2 linked regions of the Tribolium castaneum genome follow. The protein of the gene in region 1 purifies or fractionates together with the protein of each later gene. This does not show direct contact. Links are inferred from orthologs where the notes say so. Each region holds a gene or a part of one and is shown on either strand. Other genes may lie near its edges. The genes, in order: DNAlig3 and PNKP.

Region 1 (8,983 bases):
CATTTTGAGTGATCTTAGGCCTTTTTTAGTTGTTGACTTTTGGGAAAACAGTTAAATTTGTAAGATTCTACCTTGATTTTTAAGACGCCAAATGTCCTGGCCCAGAAGTAAAAAGCCATTTTGGGGTGTGTAAAAACAAGGTATTTTGTTAGTTTTTTAGAGTGTATTTGTAGGATTTTACCCTGTTTTTCGTATGCCCAATTTTTGGTGGCCTACATATATTTGGGAATTTTTGGAGTGGATAAAAATTAATGATTTATGAGAGGTTTTAGGCCCTATTCGGTTGTTTGCTTTTGGGCAAACAGCTAAATTTGTAAGGTTCTGACTTGTTTTTTAAGACGCCAAATGTTCTGGCCCAGAAGTAACATTTTATACTCTACTATTAATAACTATTTTACAATTTTATCAATCTTATTGAAAAAAATTATTCGGTAAAATGCGACCTTGGCGTTTTTATAGTTTTGAAACAGCTAATACATCCATTGTCGTTTTCTCTTTTTTTTATTTTGAACTATCCTGCAAAAGTATAAAAGTATCTAATCTAAACTAACATCGCTATTTGCCTTCGAGTTGTTTATTACGTTAGGCAAAAACAGCTTGGCCACGTAAAGTATCACTTTAGCTCCTAATAATATTTAAAATTTTTTACTTTATTTATAATTTTTGGGAATACAGAGACACATCTACTATTTATAAAATTTAAACAAGCCTTCGATAGGGTGATTAGAAAAAAATTGTATGAGGACATGGAAGATTTGGAGTAAAAGGAAAGCTGTTAGGGATGGCAGAAGTAACGTCAGAATAAAAAAAGGTTTTAGAAAAATTAAAGTAAAAGAAGGTCGATACTATTTAATTTAATTAATACTATTAAGTTTAATTCTAGAAAAAGTTATCAGAGACAGAAATATATAAAAACGGTCTTATATACTATCCTAAATGGCACCAACGTCTAGCATTCGCGGATGACTTAGTATTTCCAACAACAAGTGCAGAAGAACTAAAAAAAGTAGTGTTGAGTCTAGAAAGGGAAGCAAGAAAAAGGGGATTAATTATAAACGAAAATTAAACAAAATACATGAAATTGTCTGAACAACAGTATACACAGGAAGAAAATTAAGTAAAACAACAGAAATAGGAAAAAGGTACAAGTTTGAAGAAGTAAAAAGTTTTGTATACTTAGGAACTGTGATCCAACTAAAACCAGAAATAAAAGAAGGAAATGGGAAGACAGAGAAGAGGGGAAAAGAATCATCCATAAAACCATGGGCCAACTAGGCCTGGATTGCTAATAATATACAGGTCTTCCGTCTAAATCCCACATTAGAAGTTGTGACAGTTTTAATAAAGATATTTATCTAAAAGTGGGTACTCAGTCATAATCCGTTGAGTTCTGCTCAATGAAAATATTTTCAAGATGACAGCACTTCCGGTTATACCGGAAGTCGCTATTAACTTTCTTATTTTAAATAAAAAGCTATGTTTTTCACTGCGTTTTTGGATTAGTTGAGTTATTTTAAGGAAGTTTTTAGCAGCTTTTCCTATACCTAAGTTTAACCGTTTTTGAGATATTTAGAATTTTTTGAAAATTTTTGAATTTGTACCTGTCACTTAAAAAATCGGTAACTCGCTTAGTTTTCGAGATTTCGAAATCATATTTAGAGAATTAAAAAAGGTCTATGTCTTCGTCAGTGTATTCAAAATTGAAAATGAAGTTAATAGACCTATGGCTAATGAATTTTTCAATCCCAACAAAAATTTATTGTAACTTAAAAACTATTAAACATAAGTTTAGGGAATGCTAATACAGATCGATGCAGAATTAAATTTTACGTTTTATTTATAAAACCTAAAATTATATAAAAAATATAAATATAAAATATTTATAAAAATTTTGGCATTTTATTTGAAAAAAATGAGTTTTGGGTGCAAACTTAACTTTAAAAATTTGAAGTTTAAGATTATTTTTTTAGAAATTTGAAAACACCAAAAGAAAGATCTAGGCTTCCTCTTTCAAATGAGCTAAAAAAAATTCCAAATTTTTAAAAGTAGCAGATCGATTTTTTAATTGGAAGTTACAAATTCAAAATAAATTAAAAACCATAAATATTTCGTAAACGGCTAAATTTAGGTATAAGGAAAGCTTATAAAATCTACCTTAAAATAATTCTAGTAATTCAAAAACCCATTAAACAGTATAGCTTTTCATTTAAAATAAGGAAGTTGATAGCGACTTCCGATATAACCGGAAGTGCTGCCTGCCATCTTGAAAATATTTTCATGGAGCAGGACCTAAAAGATTATAATTGTACACAAATTTTCAGATGCCTATCTTTTTTAGAACTTCCAATACTTCTAATGTGGGGTTTAAACGGAACATTTTGTATATAATATAATTTTTGCGAAGATAAATAACCAAATATCTGTTCAGGAAGATTTTATTCAATAAATAATTAACTGGGCTTCCAGCGTACAACAAACGGTCTATAATCACACACACTTTCATTAACCACACAGTTTTTAATCCAATCAACGGTAACATGTTTAACGTCCGGGTTACACTGATCAATTTCAGGTACCATACTGTTCAAATGTATCATATGAGTGGCATTTTCCGATTCTCCATGTTTACAAATTTGGCCACCGTACGCAATAAAGTACCTAATCAAATCCCACTGTTTTTCTCTCACTTTGTCTTCCAACACTACCTTAATATTGTGAAAATAGTCCGGTAGTGGATTTATTATTTTTACAGTTTTCGGTTCCTTTTTAACTTTCTTAGAGTTTGACGATTGCGGATCCTCTGAACCCCTTTTTTTGACAAAGCTTTCCAAAGTTTTCTGTTTCTTAGGCGAAGATTCAGCCGTCCCTTGTAGAAGTAAACTAACATCGGTATGTTCCTTCGATTTGGCAAACAATACTTTGAGTTCTTTGAGCGAAGTTGCTGACTGCCAACACTTATCGTCCCTTATTTTCGTAACCCGAGGGAACCTTATCGAGATACCATCAGCCGTATGCACCTCGTGTTTGGTGAATTCCGCTCCGGTTATCTCCCAAACGGGTTGTTTTTTCGGGTCCCGTGCCACGAAATCGGGAACCATTGTTTTGGTACAATGCAACCAATCGGGTACCTTGGCTGGATCCGAGCTGATTTTGACCATATCAAGCTCTGTTTGCAACTTCTCGAGGGTTTTATCATCGTGTCCGGTTGACACCTTTGACACGGTGCAAAACCGATCATTGGCTTCGTCGTAGCAACCCATTAGGAAAATCGACATGATGCCCCCTTTTTTCCCAGTACCGTACCACGCACCTAGGACTATTAAATCGGCACTGTCGGCCATCGCGCCCCCAAAAAGGTAATCCTTTTTGACTTTGAGCCAATGTCGCTTGCCCGGCTCATAAACACTCGTTATGTCTTTGAGCACCAAGCCCTCAAGCCCGAGCTTGAGCACTTTGGCGATCATTTGAGTCAAATCGTTCGGATCGTGGATTTCCTCCATCTCTGAGAAGACTATATGGTTGGGGATTTCCGTCATATTCTCTTTCAGGATCTTCTTCCTGAACGAGATGGGTTTATCGGTGAGGACATCCCCATTGTAGTAAATACAATCGAAGACAAAAAGACACACACTGGCGTCTTTAAACTCGGATTTTTTGTGGATCCCCAAAGTACCAAACGGGAGCGGCTTACCAGTTTGTGTATCAATCATTAGGATTTCACTATCAAGGATCAAATCCGTTCCGTGCGGAAACGCCTGAGGGATATAGTTTTTAAAATGTGCGACTTTGTGTGGCAATACCGGCTTTAAACTCCTCGAAAAGTACTTAAATTCGGAGCCTTGTTTGTGCACTTGTACCCTCTCACCGTCGTATTTAATCTCGGAGTACATTCCGTTGGGGCACTTCTTCATGGCTTGCTCCACCGATTTGCAGGCTTCCGCAAGCATGGGTAGTACCGGGGTCATTAGCTCGATTCTGGCTTTGGTGCCCTTGTCTTTCAAGCAACGATCAATAACAGCCTTGATATCCCTCGAAGACTGGAAGGCTTGATAAGCGTCAGGATGTACCCCATCCAGAATATGTTTCGCCCCTGCGTTCATCCGAAGATCGTGTTTGATCAATCGAATGACGATTTTTAGGTCATTTGCGGTGCATTTGGACGCAAAAGTTTTCAAATGTGCTGTTTGTTCCTCTTCTTTGGTCAAGTTAGTGAGGTCTTGAAGGAACTCATCCACTTGTTGGAGGGTTAGGGTACTTTTCTTGACCGGTTTAAACGATTTACTCCTCTCGTAGAAGACCTGAATCGTCTCACTGACATCCCCCTGTTCCAAATGCTCCAACATTGCGTCTTGATCGCAATGGAAAATCTTGCTAAATAACTTAACCAACTGTTTGCTTTGGAGGTTGTAGATGCGTTTGACGAAACCAGGGAGGAGCAAGCGGCACCAAAGGACGATATCGCCCTTAAAGCCCGTCCCGTCGCTCCCTTTTGTGAACATTTTACTCACAATACTTGTCTTTTCAAGATAACTACTGACGTTGCTAATATCGGCCACAACTCTCCGGAATTCCCGAAATTGATTGTCCTTGTGTGACGGATCAAACTGGATAACTGGACCCGAACTGTCTTTACTACTAGTACTGGGTTTTGCCTCCTGAGGCGTTTTCTTCGGACTAGGCTTAACCCCATGTTTAGTTTCAAAAAAACTGTTACATTCCTCGACACGCTTCAAAATATCGCTCTTTTGCTCGTCATCTAGCAACACCCAGCCGTCGATATCCTCAACAGGGTCATCAATTCGTTTAGTTGTGGGTCTCTGCTTCAAGAAAACTTCGAAAAGGCAATTGACATGATGCCAGTTTTTCATTTTTCCTTCTCCAAAGGGGTTGGCAACCAATTTGGCAATGCGCAACTCGCCCTGGGCACACTTCTGCTTGCATTTTTTACAAACAGCACGCCCCTGCTTTGCGACTTCCACCAGAAAAGGCTTTTCAACAAGCTCATCTGACATCTAAAAGTGAGGTTATGTAACACACTATACTCAATTTTTGATAAACTTATACCTTCAGTGCAGAAAAAAGACCTGGAAGAATTAAATCAAATGCAAGGCAAAGACGTAAACTTTATTGTTTCGCTAAAATAAAATAAATAAATAGGTTTGTACAGTGGGTAACGTGTAACCGTTGAACTGATCAGCTGTTAGTGTTGTTGCCAGTTTTTGAGGAAAAAGAAAGGTATTTTATAATTAAAACGACTCATTTAACCATTAAACAATACTTTATTGAAATAACAAATCATTCTCCCTACAACAATTTATTTTCAATACCTATCTTTATCATTTCTGTTATCATTGGACATAACCTGCCACCTGGGCGAGCTTAAATATACTAAAATTTGTTTATCCTTAATATTTGAATAATTTTTTGCCGCTTATTAAGGACCGGTGTATAGAAGTGTCATTAATTTAATCTGCAATTAAAAGCGTGATTAACTGATCACGTGACCAAATTGAACAAATTTGATTGGTCCATTTGTGTTGTTAACTTTAACAACGAATTAAATTTTAACAAAGCTTTGTATAAACCGGCCCTTAATGGGAATGCGTGTTTGTTGCCTTTTTGTGTGAGTCTTACATAGTTTAACTTCCAGATGGAGGAGAAGCCCTTCGCCGTGGAGGTGGCCAGGCAAGGGCGCGCCCTTTGCAAAAAATGCCGCCAGAAGTGCGTTCAAGGCGATTTGCGCATTGCTAAATTAATCCCGAACCCTCTGGGTTCCGGTAAAATGAAAACTTGGTACCACGTAAGCTGTATCTTTGAAACATTTTTAAAACAGAGACAAACAACTAAAAGAATCGAGGGCCCCCTGGACATCGACGGCTGGGAGTCACTCGACCCCGACGATAAAGTGAATATCTTGGAAAAGATCTCGCAATGTAACCGGGAATTTGAAGCCAAGTTTAGTAAAAAAAGACCGAAAAAGGGGACCAAGCCGCAGCCGCAGCTTGTCGTCGACGACAATTTGAGTAATTTATCTGATAATTGCACGACTGAGGAGGTTCACAAGGATAATTGTTTCCGCGAGTTTCGCAGGATCGTGTCGAAGCTCCCGAAGGTGTCAAGTTCCAACGAAAAAATCAGCATTTTCCGCGAGATTTTCACGAAAGGTTGCGACGGGAGCGGTTTTAAGGGCGATGTCGTTCTCTGGTGCAAACTGCTCCTCCCTGCGGTGAACAAACGCGTGTTTCACTTGCAGACCAAGCAACTGATTAAAATATTTAGCAAGATTTTCGCGGTTAGTGAAGAAACAATGACTGCTCACTTGGAACAGGGCGATGTGGGCCAGACCATCCAACATTTCTTCGAAGAAAACGCCGAGTGTAAACCGGCGAAAAAAAGCACCTTGAGCCTCTTTGAAGTGGACGATTTTCTGGAATCCTTGACCACGCTGTCCAAGGAAGAAGATCAGTGCAACCGCTTCAAAACTTTCATCAAAAAGTGCACAGCGAATGACTTGAAAGTGGTCATTCGCTTGATCAAACACGACTTAAGGATGAGCGCAGGAGCGAAACATGTGTTCAACGGACTGCATCCGGAGGCCTATTCGGTCTTCCAGACGTGCAAAGACATCGCCACTGTGATAAGCACTTGTCAGGGGCGCAAAGAACCCCCGAAGAAAAGGCGGAAAATTTCCGAAGAGAAACGCAAATCGATTCCGAATTATTTCGAAAATGTTAGGTTGTTTTTGGAGGAGGGGGTGAAAGAGAGACACGCCCAGTGGGTGAAATATTTTATTGCCTACGGTGGGTCGGTTCTCACCAACGACAAACCCGAAGAAGCGACTCATGTTTTGCATTTGAAAGACACTATTTCACAGCCGACGATTCACTGTGCCAACAGCGCAAAACATGTTATTGTGGAGTGGATTAAAGATACAGTAGCAGAAGAGAATTTGCAGGATTATAGGCGGTATACAGTCCGGTGGGATCCTTGCCATAAGGATTAAACAATTTGTTATTATTACTCTTTTATCAATTTTTCAGAAGAAAATAAATACAAAATACGAATTCGCCTTCGATTTTACTTTACCCCGTTTACGTGTTGTAATAATAGCTAATCAATAATTCCACATGTGCATAACATTCAAACTGATGTTAATTTTTAATAAGTATGTTCCACTCGGTACTGTTTATAATGCGGTATAATAATAAAAATATATCGTGGGCTTAATCCAATTAAAGCATTAAAACCGAATCCATCACTTTCAATTTATTAATTTCTTATCGGTTCTGCAACATACGACCAAAAATTAAAATGTTTAAAGTGAGCGAACACGTTATTAAAGTTTAGTCATAAACTCACGTTTTACTGTTTTAATTTTTCTTTAATTAAACAATAATAAGTTACTTACCACAGCCATATTTGGAACTCATTGCTCATATAACGGAATTAAATACCATATAGGGGTTTGAGGCAAGGAAAAATTGTGTGAATGCTTTCAGTCTATCCGAGCACTAACTACAGAATTACTGAAGTAATTAAAAAATTAACTGGAAAAAATAAAATTACAAAGATAACCACAAGATCAATAAACAATAACATAACACAAACAAAAATTAAGAATAGAAATAAACAAAAATGAATCATTAAAAAAATAATCTATTACTATATGTGCTTTTTGACTTTCCTGGAGTCTACAGGGTGATTCAAAAGTGTCGGACAAACTCGCGTATGGTGATAAAGCACATTCAGTTATGCACGAAAATGAAGTCAGATTTTTTTCAAGCAACTTTTTTTAATATATTTTTTAATTTGTTTTCCATAGCAACGGTATCGATTGTTGCTCTTTTGTTTCCTAGGACGTAAAATTTAATTTGTTGTCGTATTTACAAGTTTTTATCTAATAATCTAATCGAATAATATTATCAGCGATTTTTTTCAACCATTCGTTTAACTGTAATAACATAAAGTTGTATTTTTTTAAATAGGAATCATAGTTGGCTATGACATTTTCGAAAAGCTTATTTTTTCTGATTTAATATGTCTATTTGTGTACTACATTAATTTTAAATATTTAAGAAAAAACAAAACATTTCGCTTTTTCTTTATAGTAGGCCACGAAAAAATTTTGGATTTTTAATTAAAACTATAAAAATTGCTTTGCCCAACAAGTGTTTATAATTTAATGTTTTTTTAAACCCTAATTAATTCAAAAACAGCATAATAAATTATTATTAGATCAAATTTTTGCAATTAATAAAAATTATTTGTTATTATATTTAAAATAGCAAGCTTACGTTGTTATTCTATTTTACAATTTAAATATGAAATGTCGGGACAACAAAAATCTTATTAATTGTATGATTGCGTATCAACAAAATTTTATTTTACAAAAAAATGTCAGTCCAAACGCCAAAATCTAATTCCATCTGCGGTAAAAAATACATAACATTATCAACGTCACCTACATTTCACTTCACTAAATTATAAAAAAGTGTCATCAAATGGTAGTGTCACATCGTTTTCAATTTTCTGCACATTTTTTATTTAATTGAAATCTGTGACGATCGTACATTTGTTCAACTGAAAATAACTTGTTTTTATAATTTCACATTTTTACTTTAATAACCGTTCACACAATTTCTAGATTATTCACACCTTTTATGCGAAATAATATTTTCATGGCCAACTACTTTCAAATATTTTAAATATATTTTTTATCAAAAGTATATAAAAATATCAAACTATATTTATATTGTTTTGAGTTCAGAAAAAAATAAGCTTTTCGAAAATATCATAGCCAACTATGATTCCCATTTGAAAAAATACAACTTTATGTTATTACAGTTAAACGAATGATTAAAAAGATCACTGATAACACTACTAAATTCTCTGTAAAAAAGTGCCTTTAATAATGTCTTTGTTTCAAACGTGTATCTTTTACAATAAGGAAGATATGAATTTTTTAAGATTTCGCTAAAATGCC
Region 2 (8,738 bases), on another chromosome or scaffold:
AGTTAATACATACCTTTTTTTTCGGTCAAATGTCTCGACTTCTCGAGTAGTTCGTTTCTCTCATGTCAAATTTATTTACAATTCTTTTAATTAATCGCTTTTATTGCTTTGGGAATTCCATACGAAAAAAATGTTGCGTCACATGTAAACATGTTCGATTATATGTTGCAAAATTGGAGTTTCTCCTTTGCAAAAATTCAGGTTCTGTCACTGTCTCTCTCTAATGGACACCTAGCAGGTGACGAGTGTCCGACAAGGCAATGTTAAATAACTTAATTGTTGTAAAAGCTGTGATAAATGTGCTAATAATTACTTTGTAACAATTTCAAGAAAAACGCGTGCCCTTTTTTGTTGTAGTGTAGGTTTTTAACAATGACATTTCAGTCGTATTTACAAACAATTCAAGGCTACGTGGGTAAGTGATAACCTTCTGATAATAGAATTAATTATTTATTGTAACACTCTGTTCGGTTAATTGGGTGTAAACACATTGGAATTAATTTAACAAGCGCACCGGTTCCTAAAAAAAGGGCGCGAATTTTGATTGTGTAACATTTGACCTAATTTCTTTTCCAGTCGAATACATTGACATCGATTACTCCTTATGGCTGACATGGTGTTTAGCCCCCTTGCTCATATCCTTTCTGCTTCCTATGGTGATAGCCCTCCTGCTATACCTCACCGCTTTTATATTATACATTTACAAGCTTCACTGGCGGAGCATTCGGATGACTTTACAAACGGGAGACAAGTGGGAGACTGCCCGAAGGGCTGCCGCCGCGGTCTGGGATGCCCACGGATGGATCTGGCATGGTATGTCCCTTGACCCCCCAATATCCAGCAATGAGTAATTATTTCAAGGGTATGAAATCCAAGGTCTCGAAAACATCCCAGACAACGGCCCCGCGCTAATAATTTACTACCATGGGGCCATTCCGATCGACATTTATTATTTCCTCGCAAAGACCCTCTTCTACAAAAACAGACTGGTCCACACCGTTGCCGACTATTTCCTGTTTAGAATTCCAGGTCAGGCTTAACAGCGCCAAAAAAAATCAAAATAAATCAAGAGATAGGTTTCAGTATTATCGCCGACTGCATGAAAGTCATTCCGGGCACGATCCAGACCTGTTCCAACCTCCTCAAGGAGGGCAACGTCCTCGCGATCTCCCCCGGGGGAGTTTATGAGGCCCAGTTCAGCCACCACTACAACCTAATGTGGAAACGGCGCCTAGGCTTCGCCAAAGTGGCCCTCGAGGCGCAAGTTGTGAGTGCCTTTCTGCGGCCCCTTTTTGATTTTTTTTAGCCGATTATTCCGATGTTTACAGAGAATCTTCGCGAGGCCTTTCGGACTTTGAGTATCGGCCGCAGGATTTTCCTGCGGTTGTATGCCATTTTCAAATTTCCTTTCGCGCCCATTTACGGGGGATTCCCCGTGAAAATGGTCAGTCATGTGGGGAAACCCATAGCCTACGACCCCAACTTGACCCCCGAGGACTTGCAAGCCAAAGTCGCGGCCAGTCTGAACGAGCTCATCAAGAGGCATCAGAGGATACCGGGGAGCATATTGTACGGGATCATGGACCGAATACCGTATTTTAGGGCCAGGAATTCGATACAGCATGAAGAGTGAAGGGACATTCCGTAGCTTAATTATTGTTGGATTTGTACGTACTTAAAGTTTTATTTATTTTTATGTGATTGGTGGATGTACAGTAATAAGGACGATAGTACAAAATTTGGTAGTTTTCTTTCACACTCCTTGAAGATTCTTATGTTTGAAAAAAAAATGTCTAAGACTAAGCTCAATTTTTAATTATATCCGATACCTTTCTGTTTGCAAGATCTAAAAGAAAATATTTCATCGACGTTTTTCGAAAAAATGTTGAGACTTCAATAGCACTTTTTTTAAATTGAATATAAAAACGTGTATAATAAACAAAAACTGCTGATTTTTTTTTGGTAAAAGATTATGCTCGAAAATTGACTTCTAATGCAATAGTACCTATTGTTTTTAAATCAATGTTTTTTTAATAAATTATTAAAGTAGAGGTTCGATCGCACTACGAAGATTTTGGGAATATTCTTGGCCGAAGTGGTTGTATCTATGGATGTTTTTATTCGAGTAATATAGGAACGGTGGATAAGAATTCTACTTTGATTCACCAACTTTGTTAGGGTGCCATTTGAAAAAAAAATTTTTTTGAATAACTCGAAAACTAAAAGGAATTTCGAAAAACTTTATTCTTGAAAAATGATCACACTTTTAAAGTACTTGATGAGGTATTAATTGTTTCTTTCGTAAGGTACATAGTTTAGACACAAAACGCTTGGTTCCTTACTTTTGCCCATCTCTGTATGTTTGCAAAAACGAACGGGACAGCAAAATTTACGAAGAAATTACCACTCAATTTACTTACCGACTTCCATTTTATAAACTACCAGAAATTAGAAAAACACTTCAAAAATTATTCAACAGTTGTAGTACTTCAGATGTAGATAGTACGAGTATTTCATGTTATTACTTCAAGGCAATGTATGTAAATTTTAGAACCCAATGTATTAATTCAATTTAAATAATCGTCTTCTCCCATTTTAAATTCACAACAAAAAACTCTTATCGCAAAAAACATTAAATATAAACAGAATCCTGTATTTTGGTGTGAGGTTGTATTATTCCTGGAATGGCTGTAAATTGAGTTAAAAAAACGAGTTAATAAAACAGTTAAAAATAAAAAATAAAATACTATAAAACAGATTATAAGAATTTGTCAGAAAATTCTGATTAGTTTATACGGTGGGTTTATACTAATGAGTAGTTTATTAATTTATACTCTCGAACTTTTTTTTAATCGGCATCTACAGATTTAGAAACCAGGACGTTAAATTTTCCTAAACGTGAATTCACATATTATTAAAATTGTGATACATTATAAAATACTACATGAATTTTGAGAGTTATGTTTAGGTATTTCGAGTGAAGAAAATCTTTCTTAAAATGTTCGATGTCTTTTTCTCACAATTAATGTCTAAATTGTTACTAAAACAAAACATTTGCAAGCTGTTCTTGTTTTACTAAAATTTACAAAACTGCTATTTTATCAATTTAATGTTAAATAAAACTAAGTCTTAATTTTTTTTCGAAAAAGGTCGATGATATATTTTCTTTTATACAGGGCGATTCAAAAGTGTCGAACCAATTGTCGTATCGTAATAAGGGACGTTTAGTAAACGTTAAAAATTAAGTCAGAGTTTTCCCCAAGCAACTTGTTTTTTAACTTTTAATATATTGTGTTTGTTTGTTTTTCTTAGCCACCGTTTATTTGTTGTTTTGTTTCCAATGATGTCAAATTTGATTTATTGGCTAATTTACGAGTTTATTAAATGTTCGAAACAGCTAATTGGTGTTTTTTAACAGATGTTGCATGATGTATATGCTAAATAAATTTAAAAAAATGATCTAAAGTGCCAAAAACTCAAATTAAAAATCCAGCGAAAAAAGGCTCAAACAATTCTTGTCATAAAAGCTTTTAACTCAGTTTGATGCCATTTATCACTTCCTAAGAGATCGTCCGAGACATTTGAATCACTTGTATACTGTCTTCAAGAGAAAGGTATCAGCTGTGGTATCAGGTATAATGGAAAACTGAGATTAGACTTGGGCATTTCTTTTAAACATTTGACATGTTGAGGTCAACCGTGACACAAAATTGTGTTATTAGTCCTCTAACAAAAACATTTTATACAACTTTTCATGCTCAGCCTTATCAAATTTCGGAATGAACGGAATTTTAACAATTTCCGAGAACCCCTCGGCCATTTCCGGTTCCTGAAAGCCCTTTTTATATGAGTTGAGGACCAAATCCCCCACTGGAGTGTGACTCTTGTCCGTCATTTCCCTAAACCTGTTATTGTGCTTGGCCTGTTTGTGACTCGTCGTCATAAGGAAACACCTACAATCGACTTGATTCCGTTTCGCCACATCGATGAACCTTTGCCTTGACTCCTTATCAGGATTCGTGTTATCAATCACCACACTTTGCTTCTTCTGGAGACAATCCTCCAACATTTTGGCACACTTTTGCCACGACCCCAGTTTATCCCGACTGACATGGACGTACCCCTTTGCCACGAGAAAGTTCTTACAAAAGTAGCTTTTCCCCGACCCTGGGGTCCCCACCATTATGATAACTTCTTGCTTATCGGAGGCGAAATGGGGGTAGTCATTGCTGCCAACCTTCCTCGGGTCAAACTCGGGCATTACATGGGGCACCGACGAAGCGCCGAGAAAATACTCCTCAGGGGTGTAGAACTTGAGCCCCACATTCAGGGCGAAAAGTCGGTCGCAAATCGAGTGGTCTTTGTTCTTCTTGGGGGCCCAGTTTTTCTCGCGTCCGGCGGCGTCCCCCACGTAGAAAGACTTCTCGATGTCGATCGCTAAGCCCCCATTTTTGGACTGGCTAAGGACGTTCCACATGCCGGGGGCTGGTTTGCGGTAAATCGACTTTCCAGTGGCGATGAAAACTTGTGCGGGGACTGATAATTTCGCGATTATTGCTTCGATTTTTCCCTTGAAGCCTTTGACTTTACTAAAGTCGTTACTAAGGCCCGACTGGTTGGTTAGAATGACAATTTTGTGGCCCTTGTCGTGGAGTTTTTGCAGCTTTTGAGGGATTGAATTGATGTTCAAGACCCAATCGTTGGGGTCTTTCGGAAACCGCGCCCCCGATTTGGTTTTGATCAAGGTTCCGTCAAGATCAAACGCTGCAATTGTTGATTGGGGCTCGCAGTTGTCTGTCGTAAAAATGAGTAGGTCCCGACCGTCGATCTCCTCCCATTTGCCCGCATTTGAGAAATTCTTATTGGAGTTATTGGAATTCATTGCGAAAAAATCTAGTCTTGGTTTTTTAACAACGGGTTCGTCTTGAGATTCAAAAATAATATCAAATTCGTGGAAACCGAGTCTGACTTCGATTCGATCGCCGTGTTTGAGAGTATATGTTTCATTTTGCATTAAGGCGTAACCGTTGCACCCGGAATAGGACTTACCGAGGGTTTTTACGAGGACTTTTGAGGAGTCCAAGTCTGCGGTACATTCGAGGTGATTTCTGGATACGTGTAAGTCCGTGATTCCCGTTTCTTCGTTTCGGCCGATTATTACAGCCTTTTGGTGAGGCAAAGTGATCCTTTTCTGGGCGTTTTTTACGCATCTTAAGTAACAAATTCGCGAAGAAAGAGCCATGACATTTTACGCAAATAAGAGGTTATGGAGGATAGTATGCATTACCTAAATATTCATAATTAACATAATTTAATACGGTTGTCAATTTTATTACCTTACACAAATACTACGAGATAATTTAAACTATAAAAAGTGAGATAAATATCGTTTTCTAAGTCGAAAAACGCAACTTTAATGATTTTTAAAGTGGTCATTCGAACTACTAACAATAGATTTGGAACTACGACCACTGACGTAGAATCAATCCAGTGGCGTAGCTTATTCTAAAAGTTACGAAATGTTCTCTCCCACAGATCCCTTCATAGTTTCCTCAATGTTGGTAAGTGGCTAATTTGTAGTTTGCTTGAAAAATTACCATTTTTTTTGTTATAGAAGTCTATGAATAAATTACAAAACGGTGGTCAATATATTTTTCTGATTTGTGCTCAGATCAATTTAGCCAAACATTTTTTTATTTTTCGGTATAATCTCCTTGTAGTTATACAGGGTGTCCGTTTTTCGGGCTCCACCATGAGGATCTCAGTTATTGTAAGAGATACGAGGTTGGTTAAATTAGGGCAAAGTTGCGCTTTTTTATGCTGAACAATTATCTCAAAGAAAAATTGTAATTTTCGTTTCTACTTTTTAAGCAAAAATTAAAAGAATCAAACGTTTTTGAGTAGGACATTCATCTGACTTTAGTTTTTCTTATGTACGTCATATTTGATATTTGTATTTTTGAAAAGGCTTTTTGTTCCTGATTACAACGATGTATCACATGATACGATCGAATCTCATATGCAGATTAAAATTAAGAAAAAAGCGTTTTTGCTAAGAGCGCCTAGGAAAATACCTTAAAATTGTTGTTTAACAATCTAAATTTTGACAGTTCTAATAAATATGCAAGCAGAATTTTTATAACTTTGTCTTGTTTTGTTTTGCGAAGAATAAAATTCTAGATTATCACGTTGTTTGGTTTTTAAATAAGTAAGCTTAGAAGAAATGTGAACCTTCCAGAACCACATTCAATTAAATCCCTAAAATCTAGTTTGTTTAAAAACAAAGTTGTTAACGTTTTGTCCAAAGGACTCTTCACAAAAATGCTTTTTTCTCCATTTTGACCAGGATGTAAGATTCGATCATATTATGTGATACATCGTTGTAATCAGGAATAAAAACACTTTTGAAAAATAGATAAAGCAAATATGTCTTTCATAAGAAAAACCAAATTTGGGTGTTGTAACTTTGACATCAAGAACCTCTTGGAAAATACAATGACGGGTTTAGATGATTTGTAGAAAAATGCATAGTTAAACATCTTAGTTAAAAACGCCTAGTTCTTTTGGTTTTTGCTTGAAAAAATTAAAACAAAAATTACAATTTTTTTCCAATAATTTAAAAACTAAAAATTAGGTAATTGTTCAGTATAAAAATGCGCAACTTTATTCTAATTTAACCGACCTCGTATCTCTGATAATAAGTGAGATCTCAATGGTAGAGCTCGAAAAACACCTTGTATATGCACCTGATTAGGTCAGGTCTTTATCCCATCCTTGTTGGACGATTCTTGTAAGTCTTAAAAAAATTGTAGCAGTCATTTCTTTAAAATTTGATTTATATTTCTTTTTTGCATGTTTTTTTAATTCTTGAATGTGGGCTCAAGCCTAGTTGTTATAAATTGGCGAATAAAATCCATTCGATTGCGCTAAAATAGCTCCAGATCTAATTTTTTCGTTGTTGTGTTGCACCCATTTTGCCAATTTTTTTTTCAAATCCAAAACTTGATAAAAGATATGATGTATTTGCTTTTTATAAACTATCAAGGTCTGAACTATCTTACAATACCGTTTTGTGTACTTTCTTCACCATTTCTAAAGGAGAAGCTCTTTTCGACTTTTCTGAACGTGGTGCACTCTTAGGTTCTTTATGGCCCCAGTGAAATTCTTGAATACAGTTTTAACAAAATTTAACGGATTTTAAATACTTAAATATTTTTTTACAGTTCGAACTTTAGGTTTACCATTTCTTAAAAAAAACCGGAAACTTATGACACTTCATAAGACAGCAATTAAAAATTGCTTGGCTGAATTTGGTAAAATTTAATGTCACACTAGGAAAGGACAGGACTACATGAAACATAAAAATTATTGAAAAAGCAGTTGTACGAATTAATTATCCTATCCTCGTATATATTATACGTTATTGTATTTTTCTTATTACTTTTTTTTTTCGAAAACTCTTTGAAAGAGCCAATTAGTAGCACCGTAGACATTATTGTTTTCATCAACAACGCAGTTGTGGCAAAAAACTCTTTTGTATTATGATAGAAAAAAATCCTTTGTCGGAATACATAGGTCGAAATATGAGGCGACAGAAATATAAATTATCGCCACAGTCTAAAAACGCACAAACAGCTGTAAACTGTCACGGCTTCTATTAGATGATAAATTGATGAAATTGTTGTCACAGACCAACAAGTGGGTATTTGATGCAGCAAAATCGCTATTTAGAACATTTACAAAATAGAAAATTAGTTTCTGGGCTGGTAATTAATTTTGGTGGATGCGCCGGGTTAGTGCTTCTTTCAAATTTGTTTTGTGTGCGACATTGAAAGATTTTTCATGTTTCCGAACTGATCTCGTCTTGAGTTTCGTTTCACATAAAATTTATACCATCTAGTCAGAAGTAAAATCAAAGTCGTGTACACACCGGAATAAAATTTGGATACAGAACTTAGTTTGTGCAATTAGGGAGGTGTTTTTCCGTTTTAGTACCCAGTGTTTACGACACTCTGTTGTAAGTTAAGTCACGTCCCTAACAAGATTACTTACACCGAAAAATAATTCTTTTTAGTGCAAACAGCACACATCATTTACTTTTTCCCAAATAATATTTTAAGTTTACGTGACCGGATAAAATGAGCTCCGAAATCCAAAATTCAGTTTTTGACAGCTGGGATTGTGCGGAATTTATCACTTTCTTGTCGGAATTTAAAAAATATTTGAAATATTGATCGTGCGGTCAGTGGCGTGATATTTTCCCGGCTGCGACCTCTCCAGATTCCCATTAGACCTCGTCCATCTCATTAAACGCTTTCTAACAATTATCGATCGTAAAGTTTGGGACATGTTCGGTTTCCGGTGGCAAGCCCGACTTGATTTTTCTCGCAATTTCCGCCGCCGTTTGTTAAAAATCAACGCCTCGCCCCGGGATAAAGCCAGAAATTTAATAAGACAATTCTATTGGAGCTATTAATCCCGTGCACCGGTTAATTAAGAGATTAAATTAGGTGCAACGTTTTAATCTTGAGAATTTGCTTTCGCTGTTTTATTTTTCGGTAAAAATCGTTTTACATTCAAAACTGCTTTCCCGATCCGATTATCCCGAAATTATCGCAGTGCAGGTGCTTAAGAGGCTTAGTGTTTAAAGGGAATTATGTCATTATGGCGGTTGGTGATTTTTTTAATGTTGGCTAGATTACGCGCTGTTTTAAACAACGATTTAGGCTAATATCGTT

The links.
Region 2: the proteins of DNAlig3 (region 1) and PNKP purify together in Homo sapiens (co-immunoprecipitation; 5 studies listed by BioGRID and IntAct, with this or other methods). This does not show direct contact. The link is inferred for Tribolium castaneum from reciprocal best matches to the Homo sapiens genes LIG3 and PNKP.

The regions. Positions count from the first base shown.
Region 1 is NC_087397.1:11,969,655-11,978,637, forward strand, and holds DNAlig3 (DNA ligase 3), read right to left. Parts: upstream 5,200-8,983; 5' UTR 5,065-5,199; intron 5,019-5,064; exon of another isoform or gene 5,013-5,018; coding exon 2,451-5,012; 3' UTR 2,420-2,450; downstream 1-2,419. Other genes in the region: DNA ligase 3, read left to right, coding at 5,651-7,003. UniProt on the Homo sapiens protein: Isoform 3 functions as a heterodimer with DNA-repair protein XRCC1 in the nucleus and can correct defective DNA strand-break repair and sister chromatid exchange following treatment with ionizing radiation and alkylating agents.
Region 2 is NC_087396.1:16,408,769-16,417,506, reverse strand, and holds PNKP (uncharacterized protein F21D5.5), read right to left. Parts: upstream 5,464-8,738; 5' UTR 5,337-5,463; intron 5,288-5,336; 5' UTR 5,243-5,287; coding exon 3,719-5,242; 3' UTR 3,324-3,718; downstream 1-3,323. Other genes in the region: DGAT1/2-independent enzyme synthesizing storage lipids, read left to right, coding at 373-415, 577-813, 862-1,029, 1,077-1,267, 1,307-1,633. UniProt on the Homo sapiens protein: Plays a key role in the repair of DNA damage, functioning as part of both the non-homologous end-joining (NHEJ) and base excision repair (BER) pathways.